Linked DNA regions of Sus scrofa. The protein of the gene in region 1 interacts with the protein of each later gene in a pairwise test. Links are inferred from orthologs where the notes say so. Each region holds a gene or a part of one and is shown in the gene's direction. Other genes may lie near its edges. The genes, in order: PRR13 and LGALS3.

What was found.
Region 2: the proteins of PRR13 (region 1) and LGALS3 interact in binary tests that used the Homo sapiens proteins (3 or more experiments, as listed by UniProt). The two-hybrid records come from large-scale screens. The link is inferred for Sus scrofa from reciprocal best matches to the Homo sapiens genes PRR13 and LGALS3.

The regions. Positions count from the first base shown.
Region 1 is NC_010447.5:18,659,348-18,663,883, forward strand, and holds the start of PRR13 (proline-rich protein 13), read left to right. Parts: upstream 1-1,466; 5' UTR 1,467-1,687; intron 1,688-1,743; exon of another isoform or gene 1,744-1,988; intron 1,989-2,156; 5' UTR 2,157-2,176; coding exon 2,177-2,195; intron 2,196-2,779; coding exon 2,780-3,208; intron 3,209-4,536. UniProt on the Homo sapiens protein: Negatively regulates TSP1 expression at the level of transcription. This down-regulation was shown to reduce taxane-induced apoptosis.
Region 2 is NC_010443.5:184,484,823-184,489,186, forward strand, and holds the start of LGALS3 (galectin-3), read left to right. Parts: upstream 1-1,304; 5' UTR 1,305-1,309; coding exon 1,310-1,327; intron 1,328-2,874; coding exon 2,875-3,228; intron 3,229-4,364. UniProt on the Homo sapiens protein: Galactose-specific lectin which binds IgE. May mediate with the alpha-3, beta-1 integrin the stimulation by CSPG4 of endothelial cells migration.

The DNA.
Region 1 (4,536 bases):
AGCCACAGCAATGCAGGATATAAGCCCCATCTTCAACCTACACCATAGCTCATGTCAACACCAGATCCTTAACCCACTGCATGGGGCCAGGGAAACCCACATTCTCATGGGTAGTAGTCCAGTTCTTTTTTTTTTTTTTTTTTTTTTTTTTTGTCTTTTTGCCATTTCCTGGGCCGCTCCCACGGCATATGGAGGGTCCCAGGCTAGGGGTTGAATGGGAGCTGTAGCCACCAGCCTATGCCAGAGCCACAGCAACGTGGGATCCGAGCTGTATCTGAGACCTACACCACAGCTCATGGCAATGCTGGATCCTTAACCCACTGAGCAAAGCCGGGGATCGAACCCACAACCTCATGGTTTCTAGTCAGATTCGTTAACCACGGAGCCACGACGGGAACTCCAGTAGTCCAGTTCTTAACCCAGTGAACCGTGCAGGAACTCCTAACCATGTAATTTCGAATTTAAATAAATTTCTATGCTGAAATAAAAAAAGAAAACACGGTCACACCTATGATTATGCACAAACTTGTACACGAATGTTCATAGCAGCAATATTCATAATAGGCAAAACATAAAAACAATTCAAATGTCCATCAGTTAATGAATGGATAAACTAAATGTGGAATATCCAAATAGTGGCATATTATTTAGTACTTCCTTCAGAAAAAAGAATGGAGTTCCCTTGTGGCACAGGAGGTTAAGGATCCCAGGTTGTCACTGCAGCAGCTTGGGTCACTGCTATGGCAAGTGTTGACTCCTGGCTTGGGAACTTCCATATGTGGTGAATGAGGCCAAAAAAAAAAAAAAAAAAAAAGAAGAAGAGGCCATTGCAGCATTCCCGTTGAGATATGATGGTAGGCTGGAAGCAGAGAAGATTGAAGAGAAGTAGAGAAATTTCAGATTTATTCGTGAAACAAACGGACCCTTCCCGATGCTGGAGCGGGAAGAGGGGAAGGTGAAGGAGAGAGCCATCAAGGATCACCTCCGGCGTTTCTGCTTTGTGCAATTCGACAGATGGCGGAGCTATGTAGTTGATACAGGGAATCCTAGGAGAGATTAGAAATCTCTGTATTTCTCCCAAGAATGTTTCTTTACTTTCTATGGACGCTGACAGAGGCGGCAATATTGAGTTTTAGGGTGAATATCGGCAGCTCCCCGCCCTTCCTTAAGCTGTGTATATATATCTGTACAACATTTATCATGGTATATTTACTTTATAAGGTGTGGCACCCACTGGACTAAGAGCTCAGAGGTCAAGGGTTGAATTTCCTCTAGGTACTCACGAACTTGCTCTGAAGCTGGCCCCGCCCACCCATAGCCCCGCCCCCAGGCATTTCCGGCCCGCTCGCCCTCTGCACCGGCCTCACCCCAGAGCGCCCAGCTCCGCCCCCACTGCAACCATTGCCTTTTAGCCTAGTGGGGACTAGAGTGATTGACGAGCATGTTCTCCAATCCTAAAGCCCAATGTTGTTATATTACCAATTCGGAGGCAGCAGAGGCGGATGCCAAAGCCTAACGTGAGAGGGTGATCGGGAAGTGAGAGTGGAGGCTGCGGAGGACGCCTCCGCCCAGGCGGTGGTATAAAGCTGACGGGACGTCAGTATTCTGTTCCTTTCTTTCTCCATTCCTGGGTGAGACGCCCCTTCGTTGCTGGGGAGCCGGGGTCTCCACTTGCCTTTTTTAAAGGGTAAGAGGGTGTGTCTAACTATATAAGCGTTTGAGGATCTTTCCTGAGCTGCCTTACCTCCTTTCGCCTCCAGGCAGGTCCTTCTGTTAGCCTGGGGTGCGGGGTCCTGTCTCCCGTCACCCATCCTTGGGGATGGTGAAGTTGTTTCAGATCCCTCCGCAGCCTATGGTGGTTAAAGTCTTCCGGGCTCGGTCAAGGAAAGGGAGAGGAGTGATGGGGATAGCGAGATTCGCGCACTCAGCCCCTCTCCCGAGGAGTTAGAATCCGCAGCCAGAGCGAGTGGAAGGTGGAGGGAAACTAGGTATTGGGGGCGAAGGAGCGGGTGGAAGGAGACATTTCTTATGTAGCGAACCTGTTAGTTCCCTGGGAGCCTACAGTGGGGCAGGAGGCGTTGAAGTTGGGCTTGGTGTCTAAATCACCCACCCACTTCTGGGCCGTCAGCTTTTAACCTTCATTTCTTTCTCCTCAGGCTGGTGAAAACCCCTGAACATGTGGAATCCCAATGCCGGTAAGTGTTTGGGGAGAATCTCTTCTCCTGCCCCAGTCCCTTTTCGGATGGGCCACAACAGGAAGTTTGTGTCCGTTTCTCCTCCACCTCTGCCCTAACCTACAAAAAAGCAAAGTCCATAGCTGCCCAGTGTCTTCCCCCAGAGTTCACTGTCTCCAGGGAACGTTACCTTTTCTTTCTCTTGTATAGGTTTGTCTCCCCTCCCCTCCATGCTCCTCTTTCTTCAGCTTTACATTTTTTCCCCCCTAGGGCCACACCTGCGGCATATGGAGGTTCCCAGGCTAGCGGTCCAATCGGAGCTGTAGCTGCAACTGCGCCACAGCCACAGCAACGCGGGATCCGAGCCGCGTCTGCGACCTACACCACAGTTCACTGCAGTTCCTTAACCCACTGAGCGAGGCCAGGGATCGAACCCACAACCTCATGGTTCCTAGTGGGATTCGTTAACCACTGAGCCACTACAGGAACTCCTCCATTTTCCTTTAAGTATTGAGTGAAAAATGGAATCCCCTTCTTTTTGTTGTTTGTTGTCAGAAGCTCTGGGCAGTTCTAATCTTAAATTTATTCTTTGCTTTTTCCACCAGGGCAGCCAGGGCCAAATCCTTACCCGCCTAACGTTGGATACCCTGGAGGTTGCCATCCTACCCATCCACCATCTGCCAACCCTCCCTTTCCTCCAGGCCCCCTTCCCACTCCTCCAGGAGTGCCCCAGGGGAATCCAGCTTTTCCCCCTGGCGGGCCTTGTTATCCTGTGCCACAGCCAGGGCATCCAGGATGCCAGCCCTCAGGTCCCTACCCACCACCTGCCCCTTGCATGCCACCTGTGAATCCATTGGCTCCTGGCATGGTAGGACCAGGCATGGTGATGGACAAGAAGATGAAGAAGAAAATGAAGAAAGCTCATAAAAAGAAGCACAAACACCACAAGCATGGCAAGGTCAGTGCCCTCTGGAGCCTGGCTAGGAAGAGGTGCCCCCTCAGAAGGACTAGGGTGGCTGGAGGTGGGAAGAGAGGTAGGTGGCAGGGACAAGGAATGGGGATTCACAGTCTGAGGACTTGGGACAGGGCATTGTGTTACTCTGGCAGATGGTGCTTCCTTTTTGTAAAGGATTCCCACTGCGAAGAATTTAATAATCTTGAAAATAATTATTAGGCTAATTGGGCCTTCTGTCTGCCAGGGGCTATGTTGAGCCTTAGAATGGCTATCAGAATCAGGTGCTTTTCTTTTTTGCCTTTCTTTTCCCAGAGCTTTGGCCTCCCCACCCCCATGCTTGTTCTGGCAAGTGGGACACACCCACTGAGGTGGTCAAATGTCAAGACCTTTGGCCAAGCAAAGTCTTATGTAATGATAGATAATAATCTGGTCCTAGTTCCTGGAATTTCTTTCTCTCCTTCACTGTTCTCAGCTTGTTGTATTAATTACGTAGGTCTTCTTGTCCAGCAGGGAAACTGAGGACAAGAGCAGTCAGTGACTCAGGCTCCAATAAAACCCTCAATTTCGTGCTCAGTCTCAGGCTAAGTATCTTCATGCCAGAGGAGTGTAAATTAGCAAGTAGCTCTCAGGACCAAGTAGTAAAAGTAGCTCTCAGAACCAACTCTGGAAGAATTGAACCAACCTTGAGATATTTAAAAAAAATTTTTAGGGCCACACCTGAGGCATATGGAAGTTCCCAGGCTAGGGGTTGAATCAGGCACCACAGCCACAGCCATGCTAGGTGCAAGTGGTGTCTGCAGCCTACAGCGCAGCTCACAGCAACGCTGGATCCCTAACCCACTGAGTGAGGCCAGGGATTGAGCCCGAATCCTCATGGATTCTAGTTGGGTTTGTTACTGCTGAGTCACAACAGGAACTCCCTTTTTTCCCCCTTCTTCTTCTTTTTTTTTTTTTTTAATTTTTAGGGCAACCTTGATCTTAAGGAGGCCTTAATTTACATTTTTCTGCTTAGCAAATTTTTTTTTTTTTTTTTTTTTTTTTTGTCTTTTTGTCTTTTTTGTTGTTGTTGCTACTTCTTGGGCCGCTTCCGCGGCATTTGGAGGTTCCCAGGCTAGGGGTTGAATCGGAGCTGTAGCCACTGGCCTACGCCAGAGCCACAACAACGCGGGATCTGAGCCAAGTCTGCAACTTACACCATAGCTCACGGCAACGCCGGATCATTAACCCACTGAGCAAGGGCAGGGACCGAACCCTCAACCTCATGGTTCCTAGTCGGATTCGTTAACCACTGCGCCACTACAGGAACTCCTGCTTAGCAAATTTTTTTGCCTTATGTATGGCTTTGGGTGCTAGTCCTGGTTCTGGATCTTTGGTAGAAGTCTGAGGAGAAGGAAAGGTGAGATTGAA
Region 2 (4,364 bases), on another chromosome or scaffold:
TAAGAACCCATCAAGTAGCCACCATTTATTGGTTCGTTTCTTCAAATAACAGAACTATGGCAAGTAAGCCACTTAAGGAAAAAGATTCTGATAGTTTTAAGATCCGGGTAATTTTGGCCATACCCAGCTGATCTTGAGTCAAGACAACTCATTCAGGCCTGAGGAGTCCAAAGCTGCCCTTCTGCCCTCATCACTAGAACACCAGCAGTGAGAGCAGGTGTAAAACATCCTGTTTGGTTGGGGACTTGGCACCTTGGCATGAGGGTGGGGACAGTGGACAGGATCAGCGCTGCTACCCTTTGGGGCAACGTTGGGCAAGGCTGACCCTCTTTTGTAACATCCTACCCAAAATGGTTTCCTCTGCATCGTCTGACCTTTTTTTTTTTTTAATTTCATTCATTTTACTGTGAGAGATTTCATTTGAAATAACAACTATTTTTTTAAAAAAGAAAAAAAGCAACTTGTGCCCATCTTTCCTCTTTATTGCTCCACATAACAGTCTCACCTTTCCTTCAAGGCTTAGCTCAAACAACACTGTCCTTTCCCTGTTGGAAGTAATCTTTCCAGTTGTGACTTCCCATGGCATGTGGTCTGGCCCACAGGGTCAATCACTTTCACCTCGTCTGGCCTGTGAAGGGACCATACATGTTGACTGCCTCCATCTTCAAACCCAGTTAGGAGCCCACAAGAGACATAAATGTATGCAAATGAAGGACTAAACCAACAGCAGCAACTACGTCTTGTGGGGGGAAAGTGGGGAATATAGGAATCAACCAACTGCTTTCCTCCTAAATCCCAGGGGAGGGCACGGGAACCCTGGCTTTTGTTCACCAGGGGAGTGGGCGGTGGGTGATATTAATGCACTGAACACTTTTTAGGAGGTGGTGGAAAGAGAGCACAGGAAGGAAGGTGAAGGGGGACCAAAGACAACCAGGACAAACACGTATTACCTAGGAAACTGTTTACTTTCACTCCTTCCCTCCCACCGGCAGCAGAGCATGGCTGTTACTCCCGTGATTCAGGCCACAGGCTCTTGTGATTAGAGTTTAGTTCTGAGTTAAATAGGGTGTGGCAATCCAGGCAGAGCACGACCCCGCCCCACGATGAAATGAGACATTTTTGTGGCTCCCCACTACTGACTTAGGTGTATTTGGGGACTAGACTGGCTTGTGTTAGAATCCCTGTAGATGGACTAGTCCTGCTTAGTGAGCTGTTTGTGACGTTATTCAGGCAGAAACCAAAAATCTTTCAGGATCAAATGATAACCTGTGGCTCTTTTTTTTTTTTTTTTCCTTCTCCTTTTAGGAGAATGGCAGACGGTTTTTCGGTAAGTGTCTTATGTCTGTTTTCCTACCTTCATGTGTAGACATTCATGCAGGTTGAGGGTTTTGTTTTGTTTGTTTTTCTTTTTCTTTTTAGTCACCAGAGTTTCCATCTAACTCTCCCACCACTCGTTAGCTGGAGTTGTGTTTTTCCAGCAACAAATTCAGGAAGAAAGCCAGGCAGAGAGGCCTGGGCCTCACTAACAGTAACCCCTTTACTGAACTGCCTAGGACAGAAGCGGGTGGATTCTGCTGGCAGGAGCTAAGAAATCCACTGAGCAATGGGCTGTCTCAGCATCCTGATTTTTTTCTTTAATACTGTGGTGCCCTCTACCCCTCCTCCCTTCCCAAATGCTGAACTAAGAAGCAGTCAAAATAAATTCCCATTAGTATTCCCAAATTAACAGAATGACTCACCCCACCTACAGCCATGAGTCTATTTTCCTAAATCCAGTTTACGTTTCCTCATCAAGCCCTCTGATTTTCTCTCCCCTTCCCCCAGGCCCCTGGGCTCCCTTTACAGCCTCGGCTTGTTGTTCTAATACCAGGTCTGGGCTTGGATTCCTAATGCATCAAAGGTTCAGACTGTCAGAGTTCCTAGGTGGCACAGTGGGTTAAGGATCTGGCATTGTCACTGCTGTGGTGTGGTTTCAATCCTTGGTCCGGGAACTCCTGCATGCCATGGGCATGGCCAAAAAAGAAAACAAAAAAACCCCAGAACACAAAAGATCAGACAATCCTAATGGATGATACTCAATCAACACAGCAATCTTTACTGAGTATCACGTAAATACCACATTACTCTGCTAAATACCATAGGAGACAGGAAGGGAGAAGGCAGTGTCTCTTCCTGGAGAGAAAGGACACCAACGAACACTGGCCCAGCACCTTGCAGTCTATACGGAGTCCTCCCAGATGCTGCCTCACTTGTTCATCCCAGTAATTTCGTGAAAGAGATCATTACTCCCATTTTACAAACAAAGACACTTAAGTTCTATCCAGGTAACATGATGTCTCCAAGCCTTCGGAGGTCTTGATGGATGGCACTGGATTTCAAACCAAATCTTATGACTCTATTTCCCAGGCCCCTCCCTGTGCACAAGGCAGCTTCTCCAGTTCTATCCTGGATGCCACTCATTAGCTGGAGTCGTGCAGCAGACACCCAGCAATGGGAAGGTCAAGGCAACCAGGGCCAGCTGGGTGGAGCTCTTGCAGCCCAAGAGCATCCTGATTTTGTGATTATTTTCCTCATGTCAGTGAGAACATATGTGCTTTTACATAGAGGATGGCTAGCTCCCAACTTCAGCAACTTAGGAAAAGGCAACCCTAATGATCTGAGATGATGGGAGGCAAGAATAAAGTGATAAAGCAGGTATAATCCCAAAGTCTAATTTTAGTCTTAGGAACTCAGTGAATAGGTGGGGAAATTTTATTCATAGGAAGTTCATAGCTTCACCCTATCCTTCTAATTCTTAGATTACATATTCCTATTTACCTGAAAATTCTGTTTTTGTGTTTTTCATCCTGTAATGGTTTATGTCTTTCTTTCCAGCTTAACGATGCTTTATCCGGGTCTGGAAAACCAAACCCTCAAGGATGGCCTGGTGCATGGGGAAACCAGCCTGCTGGGCCAGGAGGCTATCCAGGGGCTTCCTATCCTGGCACCTACCCTGGGCAGGGGCCTCCTGGTGCCTACCCTGGACAGGCACCTCCTGGCGCCTACCCTGGACAGGCACCTCCAGGGGCCTACCCTGGCCCAACAGCACCTGGTTATCCTGGCCCAGCCGCACCAGGAGCCTACCCTGGGCAACCAGGTGGGCCTGGCGCCTACCCGCCTCCTGCACAGCCAAGTGCTCCTGGAGCCTACCCTGCCACTGGCCCCTATGGTGCCCCTTCTGGACCACTGGTAAGAGGAATTGGTCATTTCACACACCTGGATATAGTGATAGGGACATAGCTAATGAAGAATGTAGCAATTGTCTGAGGTGGTGGTGCCATCACTTTGCAGTGCTCCCTGGGCCCTGACCTGCAAAGGGCTTCAGGGAGACTTGAAGCTTTCATCTCACTGCCTAGAACCGCTGTGCAACCACCAGCCACAGTGTATGTTGGTCCAGTAGAAAAGACTGTTGTTCCTGTTGAGTTTAAGCATGTGGACTGTTAGTACAAAGAGGAGCTAATGTATCTTTTGAAGGCATCTGTAAAGCAGCTTTAATATAAATCAAGTTAAGGTCATAGAAATGGGGGAGGTGTGGGTTGTTACTATTGTTAATAAACACTGGGTACGTAACGTGCCAGCTGTGTACCTCTTCATGGATGATCTCATTCAATCCCATAAGCTCCCCATAAAATACTATTGTTAAAACCACTTTACAAAATGAAGAAATGGTACAATAAAGAGTTAAACCACATTTCCATGGCCTTAGAGGGACCCTTTGAAGGACCCATGGTAATCTCATTTTTAAAAACCTTCTAAAGAGAATTTTGTGATCTAAGGGTTGAATTTTCATTTTATAGTAAAACCCATTTTAATAAATCAATTGTAAGCATAAAAATATAACTCTGTGGGATCCCAGACACATCTCAGACACAGATCCTTCCCTTCTAGATAGTCTAGTTGGGAGAAAATGTACTAATATGAGGAAATAGTTCAATAGTAGAGTGGGATCAGCCCCTTTCAGGATGTGATCCCACTATGATGGCACAGGAAGCATTTGATCTGCTTGTAGGTCAGCTTAGAGGAGAGAAGAGAGAGCGCTGGGGGCATGGGAGACTTTGAGCAGAGCTTGGACCAAAGACATGTAGTCAGCTGAGGCAAGGGGACAAGGGAGGCTGTGGAAAGGAAGAGGTGGATGGGGAGAGATTGCAGAGAAAAAAACCCCAGGATCTAGTGGTTAAGTCTTAGGAAGAGGTGGATGGGGAGAGATTGCAGCAGAAGAACCCCGGGATCTCATGGTTAAGTTTTAGGAGTCAGAGACAACTCTGGCTTTTTAAGGTTGGGCAAGGAGAGCACCAGCCAAAGGTCAGCCCAAACCAGGAACTCGG